2 linked regions of the Coturnix japonica genome follow. The protein of the gene in region 1 binds, or shares a complex with, the protein of each later gene. Links are inferred from orthologs where the notes say so. Each region holds a gene or a part of one and is shown on either strand. Other genes may lie near its edges.

Region 1 (16,072 bases):
TACTTCGTTTGCATTTATACTTCTCAGTATATATTGGAATCTCAATGTGAACATATATCAGTGTTCTTGTTTAGTATGGTGAGAACTTTATTCATGGGGTAAACATGCAAATGTCCCCCAGACCTTAATATCAAAGCTAAGTTGGATGGAGCTCTGGACAGCTGGAACTGGTGGGTGGCAGCTCTGCCCACAGCAGGGAGGTTGGACATCGATGATCTTTAAGATTCCTTCCAAGCTCAGCAATTCTATGATCTGATCATTTCTCTTGGAGGATGAACATTGCTACAAGGGAAGTGGAAGGAGGAAATGATGAGGTTACACAGCTCAGTTTTCATTCCTTCCTTTTGTAAAACAGTGCTGCTCGATCCTCTGCGGATTCCAATTTGGATGATATCTGTAAGTTGCTTCGGAGCACTGGATACTCAAGCCAACCTGGAGCTAAAAGACCTCCAAACTACCCTGAGAGTTACTTCAGCAGGGTACCCATAAGTGAAACATTCATCAGCATGGTTGTTGGCCGCTTGCGGTCAGATGACATTTATAACCAGGTGAGTTATTGTGAGAGAAAAGGGATCTAAAACTGAGTGCCAAGTATTGGGTTAGTATTGTAACCTGTAAAAGTTAGCAGACGTCTCCACAGTCAATTTCTATATTCTGTAAAATATGTCTGGTAAATACACTGCATGTATAAGCATGTCCAGCTTACCTGCATATCCTTATCTTGTACTGTGCTATATGCTGTATGTGTGTTGATGGATAGACAGTACTTTTCAAACTGCTTCATGATACTTGCAAGTGCTTTATGTTGTGTTATGTTATATTCTGTTTTATTTTGGTCTCTGTTCCCAGGTTTCTGCATATCCATTACCAGAACACCGCAGCACTGCCCTGGCTACTCAGGCTGCTATGCTCTATGTGATACTGTATTTTGATGCTTCTATTCTTCACACACAGCAAGCAAAAATGAGAGAGATAGTGGATAAATACTTTCCTGATAATTGGGTAAGATATAATTTGGTTTTAACTTTTTTCTCTGGGTTTTATGTTATAGAAGCAAGGTACTTAATTTTTACAGTATGCTTTCCAACCCCCTCCCCCACCAAACTAGTGTGCTCTGTGTATCTCTTCTGATTCTTTTTTTGGAGCAATCTTACGTGGTTCAGAATGAGGCACTCTGAGTCAATCCTTCTGGATAAGTGAGGACTGCTGCTCTTTAAGTATAACAATTACTGTTGTAAATACTTAAATCAGCTGTATTCTGATACCATCATGGTAAAGTGCTTCATAGAAAAGAAGACCTTCCAGTCTACATTGTTCTAGCTTCTGATAGTGTCTCCTTTACATTTTCCTCTGTACTTCTGATCCACATCTGGCTTTGTCTTACCCGTAACTTCCATTTAAGCAGTAGAAGCCTGCAGTCAGACCTCTTAAACCTTCTTTTCTCTATGTTAAGTAAACCCAGCTCCCTCAGCCTCTGCTTCCGTAGTGAGTCCCATCCTTGTGGCCTTCCACTCAATTCATTCTAGTTTGTCCACGCCTGTTGTGTACCAACGGGCTCAAATACAGACACACTACTCTAAATGGAACCTCAAGAGGGCTGGCAAGAGAGGAGCGGTCACTTCCCGCAATCCACTGGCCACAGTCTGAATGGTGTAGTGTGGTGTATAATTAGTCTTTATTTTCATAAGGCCATCTGCTGTTCGTGCCTATAACATATCACTTTCTAACGCTTGTTTTCCGCCTAGGTTATTAGCATTTACATGGGAATCACTGTAAATCTAGCAGAAGCATGGGAGCCCTACAAAGCTGCTAAAACTGCCCTCAACTACACACTGGACATTGCGAATGTAAAAGAGCAGGTACATAAACCAGATTTCAGTATTTTTAGTAAGATTTCAGTCTGTGTAATCATTTCAAATATCTATATTTTTTCTCATGTATGGAGTTGCTTGGATTTTATTCCAGTAGAATACTTTGAGTAACTTATTATCTATAAGAAGGTTAAAAATACTTTGGAATCTGGAGTTCTGGTCCTCTTAGCATTGCTTGTTTCACTTCCTCTTGTGGTATTTAGTTCCCTCGTGAGAGTTTCAAGGTTGTGACTTGACAGAATAGTTGCTGGTGCTCATCACGGTGTTGTTCAGTAATGGCATATCTTAAGCTCACTATAGCGTTTGTTCTGTCCTAAGTAGCTGTTTTAGAATTGATAGTAATAGAATAGCTAGATAGTTTTAGACAATGCGTCCCAAGCTTGTTTTGGGAATGAGAACACTTTTCTTACTTTGTCCCCATTAAGTTCTTGGAAACTTCAGCCACTTTATACATAGCGCATTCCTTGAGAGACAGCAATTATATTGATGCAAACGTTTTATGTTCTAAGGCGAACAGGTACGCTGCAGTCACTGAGCGAGTGCACACTCAGGTGCAGCAGTTTCTCAAAGAGGGCTGTCTAAGGGAAGAGCTGGTGCTGGACAATATTCCCAAGCTGCTGAACTGCCTGCGGGACTGCAATGTAGCAATCAGGTGGCTGATGCTTCACACTGCAGACACAGGTAAGAGCTCATGCCAGACTGTTATTTCAGAGTTGGCTGTCCTGCTGCACTGATGCTTCATCTTACGTCCCGAGACAAGTTCACTGTGTGCAGTCAGCAAAATGTCACCTGCTCTTTTTAGTGGCTTGTTGAACCGTTATTTTGTTATCATGCTCCCAAAATCATTATCTGAAATAAACATGCACGTATTTCCTTATGTGAGATGTGTTGCATCTCTGTGAATTTTCTATAAGTCTTAAGAAATGCTGAACTATGGGCTTCTGAATAAGGAATGCTAAATTCACTCTTGGTTTGCAGAAGCCAGCAAAGGAGTTTTAATGAAGCCAAAGCAACCCATAAACCTTTACCGTTTAAATGCACGGCTATACAAAGGTGATAAAATCCATATAAACGCAGGATAAGTGGGGATGAATCTATGAGACCAAATTGTTTTTGCTTTCAAGCTATTAAATACAAGTTTATATACAAAGATTGAAGAGTTTGGCCAAATTCTATACTCTTGTCCTTCCTTTTTCAGCTTGTGATCCAAATAACAAACGTCTCCGCCAGATAAAGGATCAAATTCTAACAGACTCAAGGTACAATCCCAAGGTTCTATTCCAGCTTCTCCTGGATACAGCTCAGTTTGAATTCATTCTGAAAGAGGTAACGTGCTACTGCAGTAGTACATTTATTACACAGGATAGTTAGAAGCAATGGATTATTTGCATTTAATCATGGGCTTTCTGTAGAGAGCTGCAAATGACTGCTGACTTTTTCAGTCTTCTCAGTACTTGGCAGTTTTTATTCTTTCTGAGTGTCTTTGTATTTATTGAGAACTTTGCATGAACATCCTGATGGTAAGCAGTGCTAATTCTTTTAATAGGTCAAATATCGAAGACTATGCTGAACTTTGATTATATACTTTTTTGGATAGAGCGTCTCTGTGTAGGCTGATGACTATGTGAGGTATAAATCTACATTGGATCAGTCTCTTCTAGTATCTGTAATTAAAAAAAAGATATAGAGTATTCTATAACTGGCTGAAACCCAGCAATATCTGTGTGTGTACATATGCAATTGATTTCTATCACAGGATGGTCATCTCACTGACCATACTTCTCAGTGCTTTTAATTTCATTATTTATATTCTGGTCAGGTCTTGAAGTTATGCAGCTCTCCCTGTAAGTCAGTTCTATCTGTTTCCAGTATTTTATTTCATTTCATTTTCTTTAGTGTGTCTTTTTGCCAGTTTCATAAACCAAATGCTTTGTTATCAATAGATGTTCAAGCAAATGCTGTCAGAAAAACAAGCAAAATGGGAGAATTACAAAAAGGAGGGATCTGAAAGGATGACTGAGCTTGCTGATGTCTTCTCAGGAGTTAAGCCTCTCACAAGAGTTGAGAAAAATGGTAATGACAGAAAACTGAACCTATGGGGGAGGAAAGGAAAAAGTTTTTATTTCTAAGCTAATACTGAAAGAAAATAGATGAGGTTAATAGAATCATAGAATCACAGAATTGCTTGGATTGGGAAAGGCCTTCAAGATCATAAAGTCCAACTGCAACCTGACCATACTACCCTAACTAACAACCCTGCACTCAGTCATGTCCCAAAACCATCCGGATGGTTTTTAAACACACCCACCTCCCTGAAGAGCCTATTCCAGTGCTTAACAACCCTTTCCATAAAGAAGTTTTTCCTGATAACCAACCTAACCTTGCCTTGGCACATCTTGAGGACATTTACCCTTGTCCTGTCACCTGTCAACAGTGAGAAGAGACTAACCCCGCTCTCACTGTGAGCACCTTTCAGATACTGGAAGAGAGCAATAAGGTCTCCCCTCAGCCTCCTTTTCCCCAGACTAAACAGCCCCAGTTCCTTCAGCCTCTCCTCACAGGGCATATTCTCCAAGCCTTTCACAGGCCTTGTTGCCCTTCTATGGATCTGCTCCAGCACCTCCATGTCTTTTCTGTACCAAGGTACAGATAATACTGATATACATATAATACTGATAATACAAAAAAAAGATGAACGTGCCTTAGATTCCACTGAGGTCTCTTACGTGTTGTGTTGCTTAGGTTTACTCTGTATATTCTGTATGTAAGCCTTGGTTAGGTTCCTAATATTAAGATGTAAATGTAAATTCATGATTTAAAGGACTTCTTTGTACAGATTTTGTAATGCCAGTTTGTTTCTGTAATTGTTTCACTGTGTTTTATGATATTCACCTGAGGGTTTGCTCTTTTAAAAGTCTCTGCATTGAAAGGCTGGCCGTGTAAAAAGTGAGATGAAGACTTTGTAAATACTCTCCTTTATGTATAGCAATTAGGGCTTCTTGGTTTTGTTTTTTTTGGGAGTATCCTAGTGGACTGTTTGGGGTTTTTCTGTTACTGCCCAGCAAGTTCCCTGCATCATTACTTCTTTACCACCCATGGAAATATTTGATTTATTTTTCTCTTGTTCTTGCCTAGAAAACCTTCAGGCTTGGTTCAGAGAGATCTCCAAGCAAATAATGTCTCTTAACTATGACGATTCCACTGCAGCAGGCAGAAAAACTGTGCAGCTGATACAGGCGCTGGAGGAGGTATGGCAAAGGCATGTTAAGATAAATGATAATTTACAAAACAGATCTTCATTTTAACAATAAGTGAAGTCTGTGTATCTCTGTGGTTTTGTATATACAGTCATCAGAATAGCCCATAGACTTCGTGATTGTAAATGAAGGGATACAGTATGAAAAAATTGTGCTTTTCTATTTGTAAATACAGGTCCAAGAGTTTCATCAGCTGGAAACTAATCTACAAGTTTGCCAGTTTCTGGCTGACACACGCAAATTTCTACATCAGATGATCCGAACTATCAACATTAAAGAAGAGGTTTTGATCACCATGCAGATAGTTGGCGATCTTTCTTACGCATGGCAACTAATTGACAGGTATCCCAGCGGGAGGCATTTCTTCCAAGTCATAGAATCATAGAATCACCAAGGTTGGAAAAGACCTTAAAGATTATCCAGTCCAACCTTTCACCTGTTACTAATAGCTCCCACTGAACCAAGTCCCTCAACGCGTTTCTGGATTGCACTGTTGCTAATGACAGATGAGTAGTTCCAGGGGAAGGAGCTGATTTGTTTTCTTTGTTTCCTACTCAGCTTTACATCTATTATGCAGGAAAGCATAAGAGTCAGTCCCTCTATGGTAACTAAACTCAGAGCTACTTTTCTAAAGGTAAGTATGAAGGTATATGAAGGTATTTTAATGCTGCAAGACATTGTTTGTTACATAGGCCTTAAGACTATAAAGTCACAGTTTAAATCACTTTTACCACTATTTTCTGTATCTAGCTTTATTTTTAGAATAAAATTACTGAATTGACTCAAGTTTAGTTTTTGTAAAGATAAAACCAAATAATGTGTGTTTCTCTATAGAAGCAGTAACATCGCTGCTGTTAGACAAAATAGTCTCATCATCCAGCCTCGATACGTTACAGTAACTTGGTGCAGACATCACTTCCAAAGGTTGAGTTTTCTGCATGTGTATCAGAGGAGACTGAGGATAGGTTGGTTTGTGCTGTTTGTCTGTCATGATGAAGATCTGGCATCAAATAAAAATATTGTCTGTAGAGTTAACTATGGGAAATAGCACAGGGAGAGGGGAGTAAAATTAGAGGGAAAAATATCTCATGCAACTGGTAGAATGAGGAATGTGGAATACTGAACTTCTTGACACTGTAATAAAACACTGCTATTTAGGAAGAATGAAGTATTTGAGTTGTAGCTAAAGAGCCCAGGCATAAGAGTAGAGTCACTTAATTCTTATTAGGAAAGCAGACATGAAGTCAAAATGTTCACTTTGTTCCTAGCTTGCTTCTGCTCTTGACCTGCCGCTTCTCCGTATCAATCAAGCAAACAGTCCTGACCTTCTCAGTGTATCACAGTATTATTCTGGCGAGCTGGTTTCCTATGTAAGAAAGGTAGGCATTTGAAGAGATGTCAGCTCGTTCTATGCTTATTTGTCCACAACTTCTGATTTATTAATATTTTTGTATAATGTAGTGACTGTTTGTCTTGTCTGTCTTTTTACAAAGGTTCTACAGATAATTCCGGAGAGCATGTTTACTTCTCTTCTCAAAATAATAAAGCTTCAGACCCACGACATTATTGAAGTGCCTACACGCCTTGATAAGGATAAGCTGCGAGATTATGCTCAGCTCGGACCACGATACGAGGTGCAGTTAAAACAGGGAATTCTTACAAATCATATTACATGGGGTAGTCAGTATTCTATATATTCTTTTAATTTTAAGGAATGAGGGGAATAACTACTTGTCTTGCATAAAGCTTCTCACTTGTGGCTTCTGTAGAACTGCATTGCCTCTGTTTGACATTGTAGATGTCTTAAAGGCAAATACTGGCTTTTCTGAACTCTGAGCATAAAGGTGCCTACCTAATAATTTAAAATTAAGTGAACGTGCTGCAGTATTTTGTTAGTGGAAATACTGAGGTGGATTCATTGCTAGCAGCAGGTTTTATCACAACTTCAAGCTGCTCCCCTTGGCCGCTCAGAGACACTGATTTGATGTTTTATACACATGATGCAGCAGGCCATGTCTCCCATAATCTTTGTAGAGCTTCTGAGTAGTGCCTGATCTCTCCTACTGGTAACATACCTATATCAATCCAATTAAAAGAAAGGTTGTTATTGCACAATAAGACTAGAACAAGATGTAAAATTGGAAGTACATCAGCGCAAATCACATTGATCTGCAGCAGGAAGCTACCACTGGAAAACATGTGTAACTTTCTGGAGCAATTATTTGTATCTGTTAAATCACTCGAATAACTTTTTATCCTCTTTTTCTATTAAAGGTTGCCAAGCTAACCCACGCGATTTCCATTTTCACTGAGGGTATCCTCATGATGAAAACTACGTTAGTTGGGATCATCAAGGTAATGTTCCTTTGTTTCAGTAAGAAAAAGTCACTTGGTGACAATTAGCACTTGAGCACAAATACTTCTGCATATTAGGCAAGACTTAGATAGAAGATTTAAAGAAAAGAAAGGAAACCCAAGAAAATATGAGCTTGCATACAGATCTTCAGACAGGTGGTTGGCATGGCATGCAGATTAGAACTGTGTTATTTAGGATCATTAAGGAGCTGCAGTTCTCCTTGTAAATAAGGTTCATCAACCTTAGTTGATATCTTTTTTCCCACTTTTCTGAAGAGCTGCTTCTTCCATTGGCAACCACTGTTCTTCCTGTATCTTTCAGGACTCCAAAAGCAACCATTCTTGAAGCAGTACACAGTTCTTAATATGTTCTGGTTTTTATGATTGTACAGCATTCTTAATGGATCATTAACAAACCCTGAATATGGGAACAACAAACATTTATTATTCAACTTAAAGGAACCATTTATTATCTCACAGAGGTACCTTAAGTATTTATCATCTGGACAAGCAGCTGGTGGGAAAGTGTGTCTGTGAGCACTGCTTTCCTATTACAAAATCAGTATTTAATGTAGCTCTTGGTAAACCTAATATCCTTTCATATTTTTGATAATTTTCTGATTTTCAGAGAAAAATGTTTCTTCTACTTAGGTGGACCCAAAACAATTACTAGAGGATGGAATAAGGAAGGAGCTGGTGAAACGGGTGGCTCTGGCTCTTCACAGGGGACTTATCTTCAATCCTCGAGCCAAGGTGTGTAGCAGCTTGATTTTATTTGATTTTGAATTTGATTATTTCTCAGCTTTCCTGGCAACTCTCTTTATTGTACTTCCTTCTAGGAAATAATTTTCTGTATAGATTTCCTTCATATAAAAAGGTAAATTTCTCAACTTCTTAAGGGTAGTTTGAAATGCCTTGCTTTGTGTTAAAAATAATGTATAGACGAGTAAGAGTGCATAGAATTTGAAGACCTATTTTTGTTCTGCTCTAAGGGTGCTTTGAATTGTGAGTTCACAGTTCAGTCCTTGTGGTGATTCATAGCAACATGCCAAGCAAAGAACACAAAAAGAAACAAGCAGAGTAAGGATTATGACTCCTTTTGTTCCTGTCCAGATTGTCAGATCTCTCTCGTAGATCAATCAATAGTAGTACTCAATCCTTCAGAAAAAGTTATATTTTTCCTCCTGTTTCTAAGAAGAACCGCTTGAAACGTCAGACAACCTATGTCACATTTCCCAGTGTCTTTTTACTTCTGGCTGGAGCACAGTGAAATGTGTGGAGCTCGTGGGTCAAAAAGGCATTTAGAAGTCTTGTATATCTTCTTTGTATTCTATTTATTCACCATTTTACTTTTATTGTCTTCTTCCCTCCTTAGCCAAGTGAACTGATGCCTAAACTGAAAGAAATGGCAGCAACAATGGATGGATTCCATCGATCGTTTGAATATATCCAGGATTATGTCAATATATATGGCTTAAAAATTTGGCAAGAGGAAGTGTCTCGTATTATTAACTACAATGTGGAACAGGAGTGCAACAACTTCTTAAGAACAAAGGTGCCAGTCAAGACCAAAAGTCAATAAATGCTCTTACAGTGGGATGCTGAAGTTTGAGTGATAGAACAATTGTAGTCCATCATGCGCAGTATGATGTACATACAGTACAGGATCACAATAGTCTCCTGTATATCTGTAGTTCGCCATCTGTGCACAGACGCTGTAGTTGCCAGATCTTATGGCATTTCACAACTAGAGGGGTGAATAGATTTTTGTTTAGCTAACAGAACAGCGGACAGTTTACCACAGAAAGAAGTAGATTAAATTCCTGCTAGGGGTGGAAGTCATTTTCTCAGTCTTCACTCTTACAATTTGCTTGCCCTTTGTCATAAGATTCATTCTTCTCTTTATAGTGTTCTGCTGTGTATGACCTACTGTGTTGTTCTGTGTTGTACTCTTGGTCTTAAAACAATTTTGGGAGCAAAGTAAAAATGTAAAATACTCTTAAAACTTATTTTTCAGATTCAGGACTGGCAAAGCATGTACCAGTCTACTCATATTCCTATACCAAAATTCACACCTGTAGATGAATCTGTAACATTTATTGGTCGTCTTTGTAGAGAAATCCTGAGGATCACAGACCCTAAGTAAGTACTGTGCAGCGCAAGCTGTATTAAAGCTGTATTAAAGCTGCTTGCATTAAATTAGTTCAATTCCACTGTATTCAAGGGAAATATGCAACAAATGGTTTTTATTTGACTGAAACATCGTCCTATTTATCTAAAACGTTTCTAAAATTTACCTGATCTGCCTTCTACCTTTTAAATAGTAGAGTAGAAAAGTTGTGATATTAGTAATAGAAGCAAAACAATGTGGGAACCCGTGTTACTCAGGTTATCACAAAACCTGTCTGCAGCTTGTTCTGAAATATGTTATTTTTTCAACTCTTCCTTAGGATCACATGTTATATTGACCAAATGAACACCTGGTATGATGTCAAAACTCATCAGGAAGTAACCAGTAGTCGCCTCTTCTCAGAGATACAAGATACTTTGGGTACCTTTGGTCTCAACGGTTTAGACAGGCTGCTGTGTTTCATGATTGTAAAGGAGCTGCAGGTATTTCTTGTACTTTAGTTTCTCAAGATTGCATTGCTTTCATTGCTGAGTACCTTTGCTAGTGAAATATGAGTTCTGTTGACTTTTGGAAGTCAATTTGACTTTTGTGATTTCAACCCCAAAGGTAGAATGTCAGTTGTGGGTGGAAGACCTGTTGCTCTAGAGTAAATGGAGCTGGTGAGTGTAGGTTATGTGTTACACAGTGCCTCTCAAGCATCAGTTTCTGCCTGTGCATGCTCAAATTTGACCTCGGGTCAGGTTTTATTTTCCTGTCTAGATATCAACAAGAAGATTGGACTGTTTGAGTCCATTTTGCTATAAATACAGTGTCAGTTCTTTGCAGTGCCTGTGATGCAAGTCTTCCTTTGAGAGAACTAGTCCTAGTTAAAGATTTTGAATCAAATAAAATACTGATTCCTCCTTGAAATGAAATACTGAGTTCCTCCTTGGCAGTTGAACACCAAATGGTCTGCAGTGAGTTTATGCATTGAAGAGGTGTAATTGTCCTAACACTGATGAGTGTAATTCAGCAAAGCAAGTGGACTGACTACAGGAGTCCAGAACTCTTCATTTGTGGAAATACTTTCCTTGCTTCTTGTCCAGTGGCAAAAGAGCAATGCTGAAAATGCTGTTGTGCCATCAAGCATAGCACACATGTGAGGGTTTTACTTGTCTTTCTTTTATTTAGAATTTCCTCAGTATGTTTCAGAAAAACATACTACGAGACAGGACAGTCCAGGATACATTAAAAGCTCTTATGAATGCTGTCAGCCCTCTCAAAGGAATTATAGGTGAGTGCTTTCTGGTTAAGATGAAAGGAAGCTGTTGTCTCGGGACGCTTGCTTTTACCTCTTCATTTTTTTTGTTTTTGTTTTTTTCTTCTCAGCAAATTCCAACAAGGTTTACTCTGCAGCAATTGCAAAAACTCAGAAGATCTGGACTGCGTATTTAGACTCCATAATGAAGGTAGGCTGACACTGTTCACTGATGCATCGGATCCACTCTAAGCTTTTGGTTATGCAGGGGAAGAAGAGAAATGAGGTGTAACGAGGACTTTGTGTGATCTATTTTACTATAAACTGTATGTTGTTACTCTTGCAGTTTTCCCTTAGTTTGTATTTCTTCTTCCCCCACTGCATTCAGTAAAATATAACACTTCATTGTCTCTTTTTTGCACAAACAGGTTGGTCAGATGCAGATCTTAAGACGGCAGATTACCAATGAATTAAATTATTCCTGCAGGTTTGACTCCAAGCACTTGGCTGCTGCGTTGGAAAATCTCAATAAGTAAGAAGTAAAACGTGTTGAAGGGCTGCATGTATCATTACTGCACTGTAGTTATTTGGATTGTTGTCAGCTAAACAGCTCTTGAGATCTGTATTTTGGCAAAATAGGGAGTCTGACTGGACTAGATACTTCCAGGGTTGGGACATACACAACTTCTCTGGGCAGTCAGTTTTAGTACCTCACCACCCTCTGTGTAAAGAATTTCTTCCTAATTTCTAATCTAATAATCTACCTTTTTTTAGCATAATGCTCTATACGTCTTTAGGTACTGGAAAGCTGCTGTATGATCTCCCTGGAGCCTTCTCTTGACCAGGGTTAACAACCCCATGTCCCTCAGCCTCTCCTCATAGACAGGAGAGGTGCCTCAGCTCTCGGATCATCCTTGTGGCCTTCCTCTGGGCTTCGTCCAACAGATCCATGTCCATCCAGAGCTGGATGCAGTGCTATAGGTGGTGTCTGCCCCTCTGCTCTGCTCTTGGGAGTCACCTCTCTTGCTCTGATGGCAATGCTTTTGATGCAGCCCAGAACACAATTGGCCCCTTGGGCTGCAAGCACACATGGCTGGCTCACATTGCGTTTCTCACTGACAACACCACTAAATCCTTCTCATTAGGGCTGCTCTCAGTCCGTTCTTCACCCAGTTTGTATTTGGGCTTAGGATTGCTCCAACCCAGGTACAGGACTTGCATGTGGCTGTGTTGAACTTCATGAGGTTTGTGCATCTCAAAGGCTGTCCGGGTCCCTCCAGCATGTTATGCACAACATACACTGGATGATAAATAGGAACAATGAAAGCAGTGTTAATTTCTAAACAAAACTGTCCTTGTAGAAAGGTTTAAAAGCAAGGTTGTTTAGTCTTGCTTGTAGCCATTGGCAGGTTTTGTGTGCATAAAGAGTTGTGTATGAATGAGATGTGTCATCGTGTGAGGTTTATTTCCGCATAGTTCAAGTAAGTGTTTAATGCAATTAACTGCTTTCTCTTGCAGAGCCATACTGGCTGATATAGAAGCACATTACCAAAATCCATCACTGCCTTATCCTAAAGAAGACAACACTCTTCTGTATGAAATCACAGCTTACCTGGAAGCAGCTGGCATTCACAATCCATTAAATAAGGTCAGGCTGACATTTGAGGGCTTGATGTAATTTGCTTTTCTCTCATGTTGTTAATTGAGGGGGAACATGTTATGGGAAACGTATGTCCTTTTTATTTTCCTCTCTCCTCAGATCTACATCACAACAAAACGCCTGCCGTATTTTCCCACTGTCAACTTCCTGTTTCTGATCTCACAGTTTCCAAAACTTCAGTACAGCAAAAATTTAGGTACTGTACGGGTTGTCCACTGTCTGAATCTAATGAAAGCCTATGTGAAACCATCTGCCAGCTCCCCATTAGCTGTGTGGTTCAGCATAGTGCGGTATGGTGTAGGATGTCCCCTTGGCCCTGTCCCTTCTCAGCTACTTGTGCCCCCCAGCTCCTTCCTGCAGGGCAGCGTGAGAAGCTGAAACATCCTTGGCTCAGTGTAAGCACTGCTCTGCAGCAACAAAAACATCGGTGCTATCAATATTATTCTCATCCTGAATACACAGCTACTACGTGGCAGCTACTAGAAGGAAAATTGACTATCTGAAAGGTGCTTACAGTGAGAGCAGGGCTGGTCTCTTCTCACTGGTGACAGGAGACAAGATGAGGGGAAATGGCCTCAAGTTGTTCCAGGGTAAGTTTAGGTTGGATATCAGGAAAAACTTCCTTACAGAAGGGGTTATTAAGCGCCAGAATAGGCTCCCCAGGGAGGTGGTTGAGTCACCATCCCTGGATGTGTTTAAAAACCATTTGGATGTGGTTCTCAGAGATATGATTGAGTGGGGGGTTGTTAGTTAGGGTACTATGGTCAGGTTGAGGATGGACTCAATGATCTTTAAGGTCTTTTCCAACCTGATTCTATCTCTATGATTCTATCCTAGCTAAAACCACGACTTAGTAAAACAAAATAAAGTGGTGCAGGAAACAACATCCAAACTTCTGCCTTTGCCATTCCACCCTATGCCTTTGTTAATGTCCCTAAGCCATTTGCTGTGAGAGAAATACAGTCGTGACGTTGGTTTTTGATTTTAGTGTGGACAGGCAGAACAGGCCCAGAAGAAAATCTTATGAAAATACATAACGCGTTCTGCCCCCAGGAATAGGCTGCTTTATAAACATGTGCTTTGGGGTTTGTTTTGTGTGCAGGCATGGTGTGCAAGCGGCCAGCTGATCAGATTGACTGGCTTCCCTTAGTTCTGGGGCTTCTCACCTTGTTGAAACAGTTCCACTCAAGGTACACGGAGCAGTTTCTGACTCTGATCGGTCAGTTCATTCGTTCAACGATGGAGCAGTGCGTCAGGTATCCACATTTCACTTTTCCTTATGTCACCTCCACTAAGGGCTTCTGCTGCTTTTTTCTTAGCGTAGTACATTCGGCGTAATAATACTGTTTGACTTGAGTCTAAGATTAAAGTGTGTCTCTTCTTGTAATGGAATCACGTGGTATGTAATGGAAAAAGTATTGTGTGAAGCTTGGCATTTTAGTAGAGTGTTACGCAGGGAGCCACGTGGTAAGATGGTGGTCTCCGTGTTTGCTTAACATTAGCCAGAAGATACCAGAGATGCCTGCTGACGTGGTGGCTGCCCTCATGTTCCTGGAGGATTACATTCGCTACACAAAACTACCAAGGAAGGTAAGAACAAATTCCCCGTCTCACTGGGTGTGCTGTCCTCACTGAGCTGCAATGTGTCTCTACGTCTGAACACAGCAGCAAGAGAAAATTCAGGGAGCTGGGGGATGCCCATAGGGGATGTTAATGGATGTGGCAGCTGATGGTAGAACAGTTTCTACACCAGCTTGAATCTGCCTGGATTCTTTTCAGACCATTCAAGTGCTATTCACTGCAAGGTTTTGTTTTTTTTCTCCCTTCATTCTTACAGGGGGCTGAAAAAAAGCTCTGATGAGGTATTCTAAATAATAGGTGTAGTTTCTGTTGGAAAGAGACTCGTACACGTTCTATATGGAGCCCTATTCTGGGGAACTAAGTTTGGTTTATGCCACAGCTGCATACCTGAAGCTGTGCCTACTTTAGAATATGGCATCATTTGTAAATGAATCTGTAAATGAACATCCAAAACGATGGGCTTGCTCGGAATGTCCAGAAGCAGCCTTTACCCTTTGTAGATGTTCTGTCAAAGAACACCAAACTAAAATAGAGATGAGAAATCTGTTACCTGACAGGAATGGCTCAAAATGGGTTTCTTTGTGTCTGTGTAACCAAGAGCTCTGTACAGCGTGTGTTACTTCTGTGCTTGGTGTAACCTATCTTGATGTTAGTCCTTGTATCTTTATGGAAACTGTATTTTTCTAGAAGATTCAGAGAGGGTGGAAAATACAGGAAGGATTTTCTGTTTTGTATGGACTGGAGGAACAGCCTGTTTCCATTCAATCTTCTCATTGCTGGGGGGCTTTCAGGAAACGAAAAGAGAAAACCAAAGTTCTCAGATGTTGTGGAATGAAATAATAACAAGTGTAGCAACACTCTGAGTCTAAGGCTGAGAGCTGTTCAGGAAGTCTGAGTCTCTGGCCCTTCGTTGCCTTGCCTTCCTTCCAAAGAAGCAGGGCTTCCTGTGCAGCTTCTGTATTTCACGTACAAGGGAAGTTCTAAAAGTCTTTGCTTGTAGAGACACTTTCTCTTGGATGCAGTGTGACTTAACGGCATTTGAAGATGCAAAAATAATTTACATATGAGATTACAAATAAGGCATAATCCGATCTGGTCGAGTCCATACCTTAGTTAAGAAAAGTTGCTGATTCCTAGCTGTACTTTGGGCTAAAAGGGAGACTCTTCCAGTCTTACCCTCATTCCCCACCTCAGCCTGGTGCTGTCTGGAACCTCTGGGCCCAACAACCTCCCGCAGCTCTGGACTTGCTCTACTTTACATGCCTGGCACGGTGCTCATTCCTTGTTCAGGTCAACAGGCTCACATGCTCAAATGGTAGATTAAGAATGCAGCATTAACGGACAAGCAGAACACATAAACGAACAGTGAACCTGACCAGCTCCTTTCCTTTAGGTCGTTGAAGCACACGTGCCCAGCTTCATATTCGATGAATTCAGGACTGGTCTATGAATATGGAGAAGGACCAAGGCTGAAAGAAGGGACTGAAGATGAGAAAAGTACAGCTTTTCCTGTGCTTTGAGACAGCTGCAGGTGCTGCCTCAACAAACTGCAACCAGCAGCCAGCCGCTGTCATTCATGCTTGTTTCAATCTTGGCATGATCTGCGCTGAATCTCATCCCTGCTCTGCACATTATAATGGTGTACGCAGTTGTTTACGTATCAATCTTTTAGTTTTTTGTTCTAAATAACTCTTTGTGGAAACTGGACTTTTGTATCGCAGATGAGCAACGCAATTGGAAATAAAGAGATTGAAATGTTTGCTGGGACTGGTGAGTCCAGTTTCCTTGTTAAAAGGATGGACTGAGCCTTTGTTATTAAGGCAGTTGTGACTGATTTCATGTTTCAGGTTGTGTTTGAGTTAACTCGGGCTGCAGCTTAATGGCGATGTAAATTACTACTGTAACTCAGTGAGCAGAAAAACCAACTGTGAGGAAACCATTAAGGAAAATGGGGGTTCACAGTTCAAACGTTCCTCCCTG
Region 2 (16,072 bases), on another chromosome or scaffold:
AGGCTGTGGCAGGGGCGGTGGAGGAGGCACAACAGTTGGCATAACAGGAGGAGGTGGGGGAGGAGGCGGCGGGGGAGGTGGCAAGAGCCCAGGATCCTGAAGGTCTGAAAGATAAAAGAAGTTGCATCTGAACAATCTCAGAGAATATCAATCTTAGAGCTTTGGCTGAGAGTGTCACAAGCCTCAGCAGCAACTCATACAAGTCCCTCAGCATGCACCATGCACTCTCACCCTGTGCAGCATCTCTTACAGCAGATATGACCAAGGCAGGGGCTGAGATTCACTGTGTTCCCCAGCTCCATTCCACTGGGCCTGTCCAGCTCACCCAAGGGATTCTTACCTTGATGCTCTGAGTCCAGTCCCTCCCTGCACAGTGTTCCTTGGCTTCTGCAGTCACCTGAGGCAAGAGGCCCAGAGTCTGGCCAGCACCTGAGCAGGCTGCAGCTTTGACTCAGACCCAAAAGCACCCTTCTGACCTCTCCACTAAGGAACTTTCTGCCTTGTTCCACCTTCTTCCAGCGAACCCCTCCCACTTCATCCTTCACAGGGTCCTTGGAATGGTGACTGGAAATACCTGCTTGTGAAGGCTCTGTTGACTCAGTGCTAAAAGTCGGCAGCTCTGGAATAGCACTGCTTGGAGCAGATGGTGCGATGCCAGGGCCGAGGTCAGCGCTGTACATGAGATCTGCAGCAATGCCAGGCAGGTCTGGCAGGTAAGATGGCACATCGATCTCAGGGACCTGGCCCAGATCTGGCACATAGAAGTAATTTTCAGCTACCTAAAAGAAACAAAAGGACAGTGCTGTGAAGGCACTCCATTTCCTTGCAGCAAGCAGGGGCACTGCAGAGAATAGCGTGGATGACAGCCAAGGCTGGGCTCTCAGGTAGGCTTTGCTACTGTGGCTGGCCCTCAGCTGGCCATACAACTCTATGCTCTTGTTTTCTAAACACAATCTCCAGTCTGACCCAACAAGCTCCCAGCTTCCTTTCCCCAGCCCCAAACCACACATTCAACCATACACCAATAAAGCCCTAGGTACAGTCACTACAGGGTGTTTGTTACAAGGTCAGTCAGGTGGGGGCAGTATAGACTGATGCCCTGCCTGCCCCATGTCACAACAAACATCACACCCCTTTGTTCAGGCTGGTTGGCCTTTCCATTTTCATTAGCAAGTGGCCCTTTCCAGCAGGAACAATAGGGCATGAGCCTTCCCTCAGGCACCTTCCAGCAGTGGCACCTCACAGCCACTCCTCTACTGGAATTAGCACAAGGGAGGTAGATGATCAAGTGATGGAGTCTCCAAAGTCCTCTATAACTTTGAGGTCCAGCAGCAAGGTGAATCATATCACATGACACTTCTCACACCATCCAGCAAATGACTGAGAGACACCTGCCAAGTTTAAGGGCTTTGTCTCATCCATTAAGCACAGATCAGGACTGCAGGCACAAAAATAGGCAAGGTCTTTTTGATAAGCAAGTTACCCTGCAGCCACGGGGGGTGGGGCATTGCCCTACTGTTCTCCACCCTACAAAAGCTTTTTCCTCCTCTAGGAAAGCTAAGTACATACCCTTGACTTGGAAGCAACTACATCCCCTCGGCTACATCTCACCTGCCGGTCCAGCTGTCCCCTTTCAGTGATGGAGAGAGGAGCATCGAAAAGCTTCTCTTCTGTCTCTGTTTCCAGAGCCACATGGGTCTTGGTCACTGCTCCTGCTAGTGGATCCAAGAAAACATACTTCTTGTACCTAGGGCAGAAGGCAAACATTTCAGCGAGGCCACCTCAACAGTGTTAGCCAAGAAGGACTTGAAGGAGAGCTCCCTAGTCACTCAAGCAGGTGGAACAAGAAAAAGAGGGGAAATAATCAGTGGGAACAAAGAGGAGGTCCAGCAGCGGAAAGCTCAGCTAGGACTTAAAGTTCTTCAGTGTGGGCAGAAGGATGAGGTGAAGTGAGATGGGAAAGGGAAGTGCAGCGTGTGTGGGCAATGGAGACATTAAAGCAGTGACAGTGGTCAAATGTTGTTGTGAGGAGCCATCAGGAGAAAGTACCTAAGCAGGCAAATGGGGCAGAGTATAAGTGACAACAGCTCTCAAGGCTGGTGAGAACTTACAGGATGATGACAGGAAAAAAACAAGTGTTAAGCTGGGTTGAAGGCAGGTGAGTGGAGGATTCCACCCATGGAGCAGAGTGAGTGAGAAAGGCTTGCTAGCTACCAAACACTGTCCTGTCAGGAGTCTGCTAAGCAAGATCCCTAGGAAAGCAAGCAGCACCGCTGCCCTGGGGCAGGGATAGCTCCTCTGGGCACAAGCAGAGACAGGTGGCAAGCATGGTACTGAGCCAGCTCACAGGTTCTCCGTGGTGTTGAAGAGCAACAGGGAGCTGAGGGAGCTGATGTTCCTTGGGAGGCTGCCAAGACCTTCTTCTGCATCATCTTCCTGGTGAATTTTGGTGTTCACACACACAGGGAAGTACTTGAGCTTCTCCTGCAAGAAGACAGATAATAGGCAGCAAAACACTACAAAAAAACAAAGCCAGTGGGCTCTCCCCAGCCACCAAAACCTGCACTAATGGTTCCACTGCCAAGTCTGGGAATTCTACTTCCCCCTCTCTACCTCCCTTTGAGCAAGAAAGCACATAGACAAAACTGAAACCCCAGGTGACGAATCTCATCCGTTCAGGCCCATAAAATATGTCTTTGGTGCCACAGATGGGTGATACTGTTGGTGTTTCCAGTGGCAAGAATCCATCAAAATAAAACAGCCATTTGGGTTCTTATAACCAGAGGGAGGGACTGAGCATCTCTGTCTGAACAAGGCGTTTGCTATAGTGTCTCCAGCTGGGAGATACCAGACATTTTCATGCAAGCAGAGCCCCCAGACATCTCTATTACCTCCCCTCTGCTGCCTTCACCTGATGTTTTAGGAGGGGTGATCCCACTGGTGGGGTACGCAGAGAAGGCAAAGGAAGGTTAGGGAAAAATTGCATGTCTTCACTAGGAGAGAGATCAGGAGTGCGCAGGGTGGAACGTGCCAGATGGTTTTGCAAAGCCTGAGGGATTTGCAGGAGTTTTCAACTCTAATGAACTGAAATCTCCTCTCTCTTGGTTCTAAAACTTCATGCATAATATATAGAACTCCCTTTAGAAAAGCACTTATTACATCTGAACTGCTTGACTTTTACAGAGCACAGGAATTGCCATCCCAGATCAGAGCGGCGTTTCAGCTAGCATGACAGCACCCGCTGCCAGATGCTCTGGGGGATGATGTTCAGTGACCACAACATACTGCTGCATGCACGGCACTACAGGGAGGAAAGGAATTTGTCCCTGAACCCAGAGAAAGCCTATGAAACAGCAAACTCTCCTCCTAGACCCCTCCTCACATCCTTCCTCAGCACCTTGTGACTCATTCTTTGGTCAACCTGGGACAAGCAGCAGCCTCTCAGCTCCATGCTGATACAGCTTCCAACGCTGCCCACAGCCTTTTAATGCCTTGCTACTTCCAGCATTACCAGATGTTCTTTATACTTGCAGGGGGGAATTGGAGACCATTGCTGGTTCAGTTTTAAGACCTCAAGACCTCAGCTCAGCAACATAAGCAGTTTCCACTAATGGAAATTTCAGGTTTGAATTCAGTAGTCAGAAATCCTGCGAAATGGCTTAGTCACAGCTCAGCAAACCCACCACAAGTTTGTACGGTGCTTTGAGTCTACAAACGCTGTGGGAAAAGACTTGGGAGGTGCCTCCAAATAACAGATTCCAACTTGTGAAAAATACACTGAAACGAACACCTTGTGTTCCTGCAGCAGCACATAGGCAAAAATACACGAGTCAATTGTTATTTAGAGACTCTCGAAGCAGAGATTCAGAAACAAAGGTTCTTTTTTGATCATTAATATTCATTTTGCAACACTTGATTTGTTAAGCATGAGGGAGCACTGATGTTCCTGCAGAACTGTTCACACACGCTTAGCCCTCGCGTCAAATACATATATATATTTTACTTCTCTTTTTGTTGATTTCAATAAGCATTGGAAGACTGTGTGTCACTTCAAGGGTGGAGCGAGAAACCAACCATTACCTACATTTACTTGTAAGTCTAATCTAAGGCAGTTATAAAAGCACCAAGTGTACTGCTCTGAAATGTAAATCTTTTTAATTTAAATGCCACCAAAGTGCAAGCCTTAAAATATCCACATCTGTTTTGATATTCAGATCAGGTACCTGTCATCAATAATATCCTGCAACTGTGAACTCCGCAGGTTGGCATATCACTTAAGAATGAGTGCTCTTAAAGTGACATGAAGACTGTAAGCCAAAGGTTCATCAGCCTCAATGTACTGAAGTCCTGGAGTGTGCTTGAATGCTCCAACACCTGGACATGGTGATTTGGCACCTAGCAGGATGGTGTATGGTGCACTTCCAGACACTTTTTTCCCTCAGAGCCTATGGTTAACAATACATAAGTCATGCTGGTTCTGAGGTTTAATTAACACGCAATCTTATGATGGGAATTGGGGTGATGCATCAGAAACCCCTTCCCTCTCATGCTAATGGAGGCTAGCTGGAAAAGCAGTTAAAAGTCAGGAAATGTTTGACTCCTCTTATGGTGGACTCAGCAGAGCATACAGGGCAGCTCAGGTTGCTGACACTGCTGAAGTCTAATGAGGTATCTCCAGTAACCTGCAAGTTTCAGTCGGACCTCTCCCCAGTCCCAGTGGAGAACCCTGCAGCACTCAGACATATCCCACCCATAAAGGCAGTGTCCAGCACCTTAGAAGCCCTAAAAGGCTGCAGCCAGCTCACATTTAACTGCGCCTAGATGCTAACGCAGCCATATACACAGTGAATCAGGCTTAACATAAGGACCCTATCTACATCTGTCGGTGCTTATGTTACCAACCTATGCCTCTGTCCTCTCACCAGCCGAGTCTTCATTTGCTTGTGGAATGGAGGGCAAAAGAGAATTTCCCAGAAGGGAAGTGTTTTTAAAACAAAATTGTAGAACCACATACAGTTCGCCTCAGAGCACCAACCCTGAGCACTCAGCACAGGCTGCCATTACTTACCCTCAAAATGACAGGAGCAGAGCTTGCTTTCCTGGTGGGGTGTGAGTGTGCGTGTGTGTGTGTGTGTGTGTGTGTGTGAAATTAGCAAAGGCCACCGTGACTGCTCCCAGCAAAGAGGCCCTCATTAGAAGTGAAAACAGGCAGTGAGCCTCCGCTGAAAGCCCTGAATAATTGAGGAGGGTATAAATGCAAACATTAGACTTCTCTCTGTCACATTTCATTACTGCAAGGCACATCAGGCTCATGCTCAGCTGTAGATGAGAAGGCCCTGTCCCCCTGGATGGTGTTTGAACCACGCTGAGCCCCACTGCACAGCAGCTGCCGCTCTTGCAGGTCCTTCTATCTTTCATAAGCTGTCAGCACAGCACTGTCCTACCCCACAAAAGAGTTATGGTTGACAAAGCTGTGGGCCCTCCCAAAAAAGCAATAGCTCAACGGGAGAACTGAGTCACAGGAGGAGGGAAGAAGCACAAACATCCAATGAGGTCTGCAAACGCCCCTGTGGTGATGGCAGCCTTGATCATGGAGAGCATAGCTCCAAAATGGAACAGAGATCACCTTAGTGAGGGGAAGGGTGGCACCGCAGGTGAGTGACATAGGCCACAAAGAAGATCATGCAGAACTTACCAGCAGGCAAGTCAAATGGGCACACCATTTGCTCTATGTGGGACATTGCCTCTACCAGTTAATTCTCTTTTCAGTCTTCCCCCTATGTGAGGGTCTGTACCAGTCCCTCCCTTGTCAATGCTGGTGTACCTCTGCTCTCTGTAGGCTGTCTGATGGGATGGGGGCATCAGACAGCCAGCACAACAGCAGTTGGCTTGCCCCAGCTGGCTGACAAGTCCCATGCAGCTGTGCCCTTGGATACTGCCAGGCTTTGAAGGATGCACAAACCCTGCCCAAGCGTGCCAGATGTCCATTCGGCCAGCAGCCCCACTTCCCGGCCTGGCTGAAATATTCATAACTCCCTCGCTGTACAGAGACCTCAACTCCATTAAAACTCAGGAAGGTTTAACGTGATAAAACATTCAGTGGCAGGTTTATTTTTGGGTCAAGGCATACAAGGATGTGGAAGCAAGTCTCTTAAGGGGAAGAAAGCAGGGAAGCTGACAGCTTGAACCCTGACCTGCCAGGACGAGCACATCTGCTACTCCTGGCACAGTACAGATGCAGTAACCTTTACAGATACCAACCTGTCCTCTCTTCTTTCCAATCCAGGCAAGGAGACTTTGAACCAAATTGTTGGGGAGTTCCTTCACATCAAACCTATCACCTCTCAGACCATCCTAAGACGCATCTCCCTGTCACTCAGTACACAAACAAGGAACTTGACACCACCACCTCCTTAAACATTACCTACTGCAGACAACAGCTGTTCAGCTCCCCACCTACACCTAAAACTCTGGTCTACTTCATCAAGGAGACTTCTCTTTTCTTGTTCATCTCATGGTCTTTTCTCCTCCTCCTTACCTGCAAGGATTTTTCATCCAGCATTCGGTGCTTGCTCTGGATCTTGTGTCTTGGCCATTTCTGTTTAGCTGGGTCTTCTGCACCAGCAAAAATTGAACAGTACTCCTGCAGCCGTTCGGGGGCAGGATACTTGGCACTGGAAAATACCTGAGGAGAGACAAGGAGGGATTTCAAAATCCCAGCAACTAAGCAACCTTCTGCTGTAGAAACACATGGAGTAGATTAAGGCACATGATCTGTGATGCCCGTGGGAATGGAGAGCCTTGGACTCAACAGGCTCCTAAGGGCTATTTCTACAGAAACCATCATGAGGGCCATCAGTTTTGAAAGCTGAAATGCCAAACATTCACTCTCTCTGTAAGCAACAGGAGGCAGAAAGGCTTTCAAAGTGTAGGAAGGGAACTGGAAACACTGCATTAAATACAGCAGGAATGGTTAAAGAAGACTTCCACTAGTTTTACACAGATAAACATGCATTGGAGGGGAGGCTGTCTATCTATTCAAATAATGCAAGATTGTAACATGAAATGAGAGGGCGTTGGGCATAGGGAAGCACAAAGCTGTTTCATTTCAAAGGTAGTAGCTAAGGCAACAACTTATTTAGGCCTCATATGGCCAGGAGCTGGGTAGTCCGTGGGTTGAAGAATCATTAACTGGCCTTGTCAAAATGGGGATTCTCATCACAGCTCCTGCTCAGCAGCAACGCACAGAGAGGTGGATGGGCAGCTGTTTTTCTGCAGAGGTAAAGATAGAAGACAGAAAGAAGGAGGGAAGACAGCTTTCATTGGAGTCACTACCTTAATAGCCTTCTTGCTGCCCTTGATCTTCTCAATCTTTGCTTGTGCGAGCGTGACTCTCTCACTGATTGCCTGAAGCTGTGCCCGGCTGGTTTCCACCCGCTGAGAGATCCTAAGGAACAAGGACATTGCTAAAGGGTAAGAATCCAAAGCCAGAGATTTTTTGGCAAGAGCCAGTGGCCACACCAAAGGGAAGGATATGAATCTCAGTGGTCAGGGTTGTCTCACAAGGCAAGATAGCACTGGGTCAGATACTTGTCTTGGTCCCATTAAGAGTTTCTCACGTGCTCCAACATGAAACAAAACAACTCTGTGCAACATTCTCCTTGCTGAGGCACAGAACATAAGATGGAGAACTGAGTGCAGAAACCCCCCTGCCTCATTGCAGATACAGCTAACAAGAAAGCCACATGCAGTTATCAATTGATAACAAGCTTCTCAGAAGAGACCCTCCTCCTCCATACATAACTACTAGGTGCAGCCCCACTTCAAGCTCAAACGCTAACAACTGTTCTGAAACTTCATCCCTTCAGCAAAACCAGCACAGAATATTTTTGTGGCCACAGTCTTTCAGGAGACATAGTACTTCATTTCAGCATTGTTTTGTAGTAACGAGTTCCAGCGGACCATTTTGTGCCTGTAAAAATCAATCTTGGTCTTTTCTTTAAACTCCATCCCCAAGTCCCTCTTTGCACTTAAGCAGAGAACTCCTATGCTCTGTTTTCCTTCTGTCTGTATAATCCCTTTCAGTAACAAAGGTAACATTAACACTTTCCAACTCTACCAAAGCTGTCTTTTCACCTGGTGCAAAAATGGACTCCACTAAAGGCTCCTGCTGGCTGCAGCAAGAGAGCAGCCAGCTCAACCCCTTTCATTCAGAAAGACCCCCATTTCTTTCTCTAGCCAGATTTAAGTGTTTCTACTTGCTTATAACCATGCACCCCTCTTTCTGAAGGCATGAAAACCCTCGTTCACAGGGCAGGAGAGCAAACAGCCCGTTCTACTCTATTTGGAGTGGGAGATGAGCAAAACTGAACCTCATGAGATCCCACCTCTCAGTAGAATCCTCCACTTCCCTATCCTTTTATTTTAAATACAGCCTAACAGCTTGTATTTTGTACCAACACTAAATGCAAATCTGTTCATGGTTTCCTTCCCACTCCCTCCCGCCGACTCAGCGGAGGAAGTCCACATCGTTTATATACTTGATAGTTCTCAGAGTAGCTTATGTTGTTCCTTTCAGCATGCATTTCCTAGCACCTGTCTGCAGCAAATTCCATGTGTCACAAGGCTGTCCCATTGCCTTGTTTTGTTAAAGCACGAGACGCTTCCCGAGGAACTAAATCTTTTCTAACTGTTCTTTCCAGCCAATTTTCCCACCTCACAGTTGACTTCCTTTGCAGATGTTTCATAATCGTATTGATTGACCTCATTCCCAGAGCTGCTCCTGGGGGCACCTGCCTATTTTTACTTCCTCCAAAGATGAAAAAAACTAGTCATTTATTTCTGCTTTGCCTCTCTCCCTCAAATCAATGATGTCATTTTCCCTCTCACCTGTGAGTAGACCTCTGTCCTAAAAGAACTTGGCAAAGCCTTCCAAAAGCTCAAAGTTAAGAGAAGGTGTCAAACACTTTTAGTCATCACTCTGCTGACTCCCAGACCCAGGTCTCAGAGGCCAATGAGGCAAACCTTTCTCTTCCAGAAGGAAATCTTAAGCAAAGCCTGAAAACCAGTACCCATTCTCCATCCTATTACTCCAGAATGCAAGCAGGCCAAACGAGTTGGCAATTTCTTCTCTTGCTACCTATGTACACACCCCAGGTACCACCTCTTCCTCTCCATTCCGAAGAAACTCAACTACAGCTTCATCCTTCCCTTCTACTCCTAGATAATTAAGAGTCACCCACAAAATGGCACTACAGGACTGCCTACTCCATGCACACGGCGAGGAAGCTGTCCAGTGCTGCCCAGGGAGGCTGTGGATGCCCCATCCTTGGAGGTGTTCAAGACCAGGTTGGACGGGGCCCTGGGCAACCTGATCTAGTAAAGGTGTATGTTTGGTGGCCCTGCCAGACAAGGGGGGTTGGAACTACATGATCCTTGAGGTCCCTTCCAACCCGGGTCATTCTGTGATTCTGAGATTCAGTGCCAGCTCAGGTGTTTCAAGTCACTTTGTCTGCCCCCAGAAGCACCCTGTGATCTGTGATTTCTCCTATGATCCCTGCTCTAGGATTTGCCAGTCTGACATTAAGAGATCTGCCAAAAACCTTCACCTGAGATTCACCTTCACAGAACGCAAGGCAGAAGGAATACACACCAGAACTGCTTTATTTCTTGCTGACCAAGGTAACTATCAGAAAATGATTAAACCCTCTCAATCCAACTGATCAATGACATTCCATCACAAACTCCAAGGAATGTATGACTGCTACGTGTGCACAGTTCAAGTTACAGTCAAAGTGGTGTTTGTAAAGACAAGAAACACGAAGGGCTGGAGGACTGTGTACCCAAGGATTTACAGGGCAAAGCATACGAAGCAGTGCTGCATTGAGACTTCAGTCCCCATGCTGAAAGGATTGAGTTACTCAGTGGTGTTCATATGAAACACAATGGCAGGATGGGCAGGAAGGGTGAATATTAATAAAATGGTTTGTTACTGCCCCTCAGAATCCTGTTCCCAGGCAGCTGAGAACACAACCACCATCTGAAGCTACCCTGTGCCCATCTTATTAGTCACTGCTGTGTTACTCTGCTCTCGGTACTCTTTTCTGCTTCAGGAGCTCCCGCAGCTAGATTCAACTTGACTTCAGAGCTGCAGAGAAGCAGGAGGTGCACAAGGACAGCCCTCCCCTGCACTGGGGACAAGGGAAAAGGGGGCCCGAAGGAGAAAGAATATATTCACCTGCCTTCAAAACCCGGGCACAGAGCCAAGGCAACCTTCCCATCCCAGTGCTTTTCTTTGGGGAAGTAATACATGTGGCAGATTAAATCTATCTAGTGGATTATCTCTTAATCCACAGAGACTTTTATTTTTATCTATGCAGATATTAAAGCCAATCTTTCGGCTGCTTTGACTCAAGCTTTCACATCCTCTGTCCCTCTAAAATCTTTATACTGTCAAGCCCCACTCACCCCTCACCTTTAGCTGAGGGATCCTCTTCTCCTAGAACCTCACCTTGCTGCCTCACGTTCTTCCCCATTTTAGAGGAGACTCACTCCAAACATCCACAGCAGTTCTCAGGAATATCTCCCCCCTCCTCACCACTGCCCTGACAGGCTGTGCATCTTCCAGCCCATCTGCAGCCATGGAGTTTATCATTTCCTATTATCTCCTTATAACTTCTCTGATAATCCTCATATTCAGGCAGCTACAGAGAAATCTCCTCTGCTTCATCTGTGCCCGCTCAGAGGGGAAAGATTATTGTTCTCTTACTCCCACGGGAAAACCACATGAAGCATTCGGGATTTGGCATGAAAGACACAAGATGCTTCCTGTCAATTACCCGCTGTGGTATTAACCACATATTCCTCTTAGTCTCCAAGCAGTCCATAGGGCCAAGCTAAAACTGAGATTTTTATCATCTATATTTGCTTGGGATCAGACAGCATCAGAAAAAATAAAATCAGAGCAGATTTGAAGGTAGGCTGACAGGTTACCAGAAAAATGACTGAACAAAGCAGCTTGAGGAAAGAGAACTGAGCTGGAGAGAAGTATCACAGCAGAAAGAGGCCCTTTGCTGTCCATGTTCAGCACACACATCACCCAAAAGTGACAGGGACAACAAAACTTAGGACACAGGAGAGAGAAGAAGTGAACTCCACATCAAGGTGAATGAGAAAGGTGAGCCAGCAGAGCCTGGGAGCAAACCTCTTTGGAATACCAAAGAACTTCAATTTCATGTCTGAAGTACAAAAGTAAGCAATCAACCAAGGAGAAAGAACATTACAGAGCAGAATGAGAAACGAAGTTGCACAGGAGGATAAGGCAGCCAAAGTATAAAATGACTTTTTTGTTGTTGTTGTTGTTCCTTAAATGAGGACTGATCACATCACGGCAAGTCAGATTTCTGGTCTCCTCCCAGCCTGGGCTCCATTCCTGACAGATAGCAGGGAGATGCTGGGCACTGTTATTCTAAACCTCTAGGTACACACTGTAAATTTGTTCTATAAACCCTTGGCTTTTTTCCCAAAATTCAAGCTGCTTTTTACATTTATTTATTTTTTTCTTACAAAGTGTAGCTTTATTAAATTCCTCCCTTGAATCACAAGGGACGGTGTTTATGGTTCTTGAAATGTAATACATCCCCAGACTCTACAAGGAGCTTGGTGCTGAAACAGGGTAACGGTGAAGAATAACACTGTTGGCTGCCACGTATCCAAATTACTGGTAGGAAAACCAGCAGGGTGCCACTGCTGACCAATGATATACCACCAGACCTCTAGGAAAAGGTTCAATGGGTTTCCAAAAGGCTGCTCCCCAGGTTGCTGAAGTGATCAACTAATACCTCTGGTACCTGTAACTAAGGGCTTAGGTGCAGAGTCCACTAAGGCCGAAACAAGCCAAGAGAGCTAGGCTAGAATACCACAGTGCATCCCGGCTGGCTAACAAAGAATCATGTTTAATGAGGCACTAGAGTGTCTTTTACAAACAGCCTTAGTGCAACAACCAGCACAGCCAGAAACGGACTGTGAGAAGCCAGAGTCCCCTTCTCACCACTCCCACAAAATGACTCTACCCAGCAGCCAACAACACTGCAGAATTGAGATGGTGAGGGCAAGCGAAAAGCTGCTAAAATGTTCACTGTTTACAGCAATCCAGGGAAGCATTCAAAGCCATCTCACAATGACAGTTTACCTTAAAAGTCGGGAAGGCAAAAAGCAAAAACGTATGCTTTTACAGAAAGCCAAACACGTCCAGCCACTCAAAGAAAGATCAACTTGTTTGCTTTCTGCTCTTCTCTCTCCTTCATATTTAAGCAGTTTTTAAAGTCTTATTTCATGTCTGAGTAAGTGTAATCAGAAGCTGTCATCATACATCGTCTCTGGCAGAAAGAAATCCCAAGTGAGACAGTGCAATCAATGTTCCTTCCTCCATTAAGGGTTTGGGTATTATACTAATTAATGTTTATCACACTTTGATTGCTCCTTAAGCCTGATTTGCAGGTGTTCCAGCATTCGCATATTGCCCCATTCCCGCAATGCCAAACAGTTTTGCAGCCTGGAAGGTGATGAAGGTTGTCAGGTTACCCTCAGCATGATCTGCTCTTCAGAGGTCATGTTCTCATCCAAAAGGATCCTTCTCAAGGTGAAGCAAGAACTTCATTCACTGGGAATTAAGTTTACGCAGAAATGGAAAGTGTTTTAAATGATGACCTGTCACTGCAATACATGCTCCTCTGCAGCGCTGTTCTCCCAAGAAAAGCCTTCACAGGAAACTTCGGAGTGGAATCCAGGTGACCCTGTGGTGAACAGTCTTCAATCTGGCACCATATCTGATTCTACACAGACAACTCTTTCATTGTGCCCTTTACTCTTAATCAAGATCTCACTCCACATTTCCTGTCAGGAGACGTCAGAGAAGACAGATCACTCCAGACTAAAATATCTGATGCGTGCTTTTTCCCAAGTGGGGTTGTGAGAGAAAAATGCACGAGACACCAGACCAAATTGGCTGAAGCTTCAGAACTTCACCTGAATGTGGTAATAGGAGCCTAGCACTTGAAAGCCCATGTCAGCTTCCCCACCCCCTGTCTCACTTGGAACCAGAGAAGCCTTGCTACAACACAGTGATGAAGTAGGGAAGCAAGACTGACATTTGCAGAGTCTTCCTCACAACGGGAAAGCAAGCCCACATCATCTTAAGCATACAGAACAAGATGTCAGGCTGGTTTGTAGCAGATGACCTGTCCTCCAGCAGCCCATGGGCACCATGTGCAGGCATGGAGGAGCCCATGGTACAGCAGCAAATGAGGCTTGAAGGAGCTGCAGTCCATGGAGAGGCCTGAAGGAGAAGCCTGGGCTGGTCAGAGTGCAGGAAGCAGGGGTGGAGAGTGACCAAGACAGAACAGCAGAAACTAAGCATTATGGACTGACCACAGCCACTCACTGCTTTTGTTCAACAATGATCCTCCTCACCATCCTGTGACAACCAATGCTGACTCAAGATTCCCCTCCAAATGGTCTTACAAAGAAAATAAGCCCAACCACGTTAGAATTGCTTTCTCAGAAATAGTTACCAGGTCTTTGCTAAGAAACCTCACTGCTAATTATACCTTTTCCCTTTCTCAACTTGGCCTTCCAATTTTAACTTCTCGTAACATATCCCTCTCTTTCAAAAAGGGTTTCTTTCTTGTAAAAGAAACATTTATTTCCTTATTTATTGCCAATGTTGCTTTTCATTTCAAAATATTTGCACTTCACAAACAGGGTCTGATTCATGTTACTTCTTCATTTTCCTATAATCAATTGCAGTCACACTCAAATCTCAAAAGGCACCTTCCACGATACGCCCATCAACAAGCTAATTTCAGCCTAAGTGCTCCACAAAATAAGAGTAACTTTTTATCACGTTTTTCATCCAACACCTTTCCTGAGTGATTAAAGTACTTATAAGACATTTCTGGTTACTTTTCCCCAAAAAACTTTGGGCCCCATCAAGAAGGCTTTTCGTAACTGAACTGAAAAGCAGAACCTTTCTACTTCGACAGCTGCTCTATCATTTCAGTGAAGATCTCTGTGGCACGTCAGTCATCAGACATCACCTTGAGAACATTTCTAGACACATGATTTCATCTTCCTCAGCATCCTTTTAAATCCATCTTCCCTAAGTGGTGACATGCAAACAGTCATTAACAATGGACATACTGCTTTTGCAGTAATACCAGAACAAATTTGTACAGCATAATTTGCAATCCTCCCTCTCCACCACAAAACTTCCAGGACTGTAAATTCAAAAATTCTGTTAGTCTACTCTATTTGTAAAATATTAACACAATAAATATTCTCACGGACCAATGCCTTCAGCAGCAGCTAATCCCCTGCAGACGAAGTAAGCATGAAGCATAATGAAAGGTATGATTTTGGTGATGTTTTGTTATTTCATTTCCTAAACTGTATAAAGAACAAACAAAGTCCTGCCTAGTGCTTGGTTCCCCAACAGGAGTTAGAAGCTTCTCAGACTGCCTCTCAAAAAAGTCACATAGAAAAGTCCTGAGTTTGGTCTAAAACCAAGATGCTACTTTCAAAAGCGCTGTTGTTGAAGTGGAGCCAGAGAAATCTAGTCACTGGGCCAAAGCAACAGATAGAACAAGAATTTTTTAGTTGGTCTTGATGCTGAGTTACTGAAATGACAGGTATGCTACGTACATTTAATTGATTACCAGAGAAGCTATTATTGCTGCACTAATGCTAGGCTGAAGTGCAACAGCATTACCTTCTTTTCTTACAAGTAATGTCCTGTCATGCCTCTTAGGCCCCTCAAGCATTTCTTACTTTCAGTCTTGATGAAAAATTAAATTCCTCAAAGTAAAATAAAACCATGTTTTTGCCTTTTAAAATATTTATTAATCCAGAATAAGGATCATATTCGTGAATAAATTAAGAATGGCATTGAACTCAGAAGACACTACATTATCCTCCTGGGGTTTCTCTTTAACACACATTACTTCTAAATCCTGCATTCTCTCCCCTCCCTAATGGCAGAGAACAGTAGATTCCCTCAATAAATTGATTATTTGGAGGATTAACATTAACAAGTTCTTATTTTTCCTCTATTATCATCTGCAAATTGACCTGCTGCCTCCAAAAGCACTGTTCTGTCTCAACCATCAACTGCATTTACACCCAAACTCTAACCTACCCCATTCTGAAAAAGGCCAATGACAGAACCACAGCTAGTCAAAAAGAAGGACTGCAGAAAGAGAATTTAATACGCCAGTCAAGTGTGAAGAACAGACCTTTGGCACTGCTGTATCCTCCCCCAACTCTCTCCACAGTGCACACAGTACCATCTATAGAGGTGGGAGTCAGTAAAACACATTTCAAGCCTCTTGGTGTTATTTTCCAGACAGTTTTCTCCACACTAGACCCCCGATGGAAGTCATGCCTGTAAAACAAAGTGACTTGTTTGCAACTCTTCCTTCAGGGCTGACTGAATAGACAAAACTCATCCATAGGAAGAGAAAATGATTCCAACACATGTGTGAGAGTCCGGCATCTGAAGCTGGTTGAGAAGGTAGAGCTATCACTTTGTATAAGAAAAGAACAACTTAACAATTGTGTCAGGAAGAGTGGGAGAATCAGATGATAGCGCCATACCTGCAGGCTACAAAACAAGGAAAAAGGGAAAGAAATTTTGTATTTATTTATTTATTTTTTTGGTGTGAAGCACACACTACCTTGTTAAAATTTATTCTTCCTTGGTTATTTCTAGAGGAGAATAATAGTTACAGACATTTGAGGCAGTAGCGGGAAGAATCATCAGATCATAGAATGGCCTGGGTTGAAAAGGACCACAATGATCATCTGGTTTCAATCCCCTGCTATGTGCAGGGCTGCCAACCACCAGACCAGGCTGCCCAGAGTCACGTCCAGCCTGGCCTTGAATGCCTCCAGGGATGGGGGTTCCACAACCTCCTTGGGCAACCTGTTCAAAGTGTTACTACCCTCTGTGTGAAAAACTTCCTCCTAATCTCTAACCTAAACCTCCCCTGTCTCAGTTTCAAACCATTCCCCTTGT

Evidence for each region.
Region 2: WASHC5 (region 1) and WASHC1 share a complex: the UniProt entries of both Homo sapiens proteins name them as parts of the WASH core complex. The link is inferred for Coturnix japonica from reciprocal best matches to the Homo sapiens genes WASHC5 and WASHC1.

The regions. Positions count from the first base shown.
Region 1 is NC_029517.1:125,011,984-125,028,055, reverse strand, and holds the end of WASHC5 (WASH complex subunit 5), read left to right. Parts: intron 1-355; coding exon 356-548; intron 549-849; coding exon 850-1,002; intron 1,003-1,745; coding exon 1,746-1,859; intron 1,860-2,380; coding exon 2,381-2,552; intron 2,553-3,069; coding exon 3,070-3,197; intron 3,198-3,814; coding exon 3,815-3,944; intron 3,945-5,006; coding exon 5,007-5,119; intron 5,120-5,303; coding exon 5,304-5,470; intron 5,471-5,686; coding exon 5,687-5,762; intron 5,763-6,396; coding exon 6,397-6,507; intron 6,508-6,621; coding exon 6,622-6,762; intron 6,763-7,402; coding exon 7,403-7,483; intron 7,484-8,134; coding exon 8,135-8,236; intron 8,237-8,858; coding exon 8,859-9,038; intron 9,039-9,500; coding exon 9,501-9,625; intron 9,626-9,933; coding exon 9,934-10,096; intron 10,097-10,784; coding exon 10,785-10,887; intron 10,888-10,982; coding exon 10,983-11,062; intron 11,063-11,279; coding exon 11,280-11,383; intron 11,384-12,369; coding exon 12,370-12,499; and 10 more. UniProt on the Homo sapiens protein: Acts as a component of the WASH core complex that functions as a nucleation-promoting factor (NPF) at the surface of endosomes, where it recruits and activates the Arp2/3 complex to induce actin polymerization, playing a key role in the fission of tubules that serve as transport intermediates during endosome sorting.
Region 2 is NC_029516.1:52,625,345-52,641,416, reverse strand, and holds part of WASHC1 (WASH complex subunit 1), read right to left. Parts: intron 7,448-16,072; coding exon 7,336-7,447; intron 6,686-7,335; coding exon 6,539-6,685; intron 2,485-6,538; coding exon 2,348-2,484; intron 1,748-2,347; coding exon 1,612-1,747; intron 780-1,611; coding exon 575-779; intron 105-574; coding exon 1-104. UniProt on the Homo sapiens protein: Acts as a component of the WASH core complex that functions as a nucleation-promoting factor (NPF) at the surface of endosomes, where it recruits and activates the Arp2/3 complex to induce actin polymerization, playing a key role in the fission of tubules that serve as transport intermediates during endosome sorting.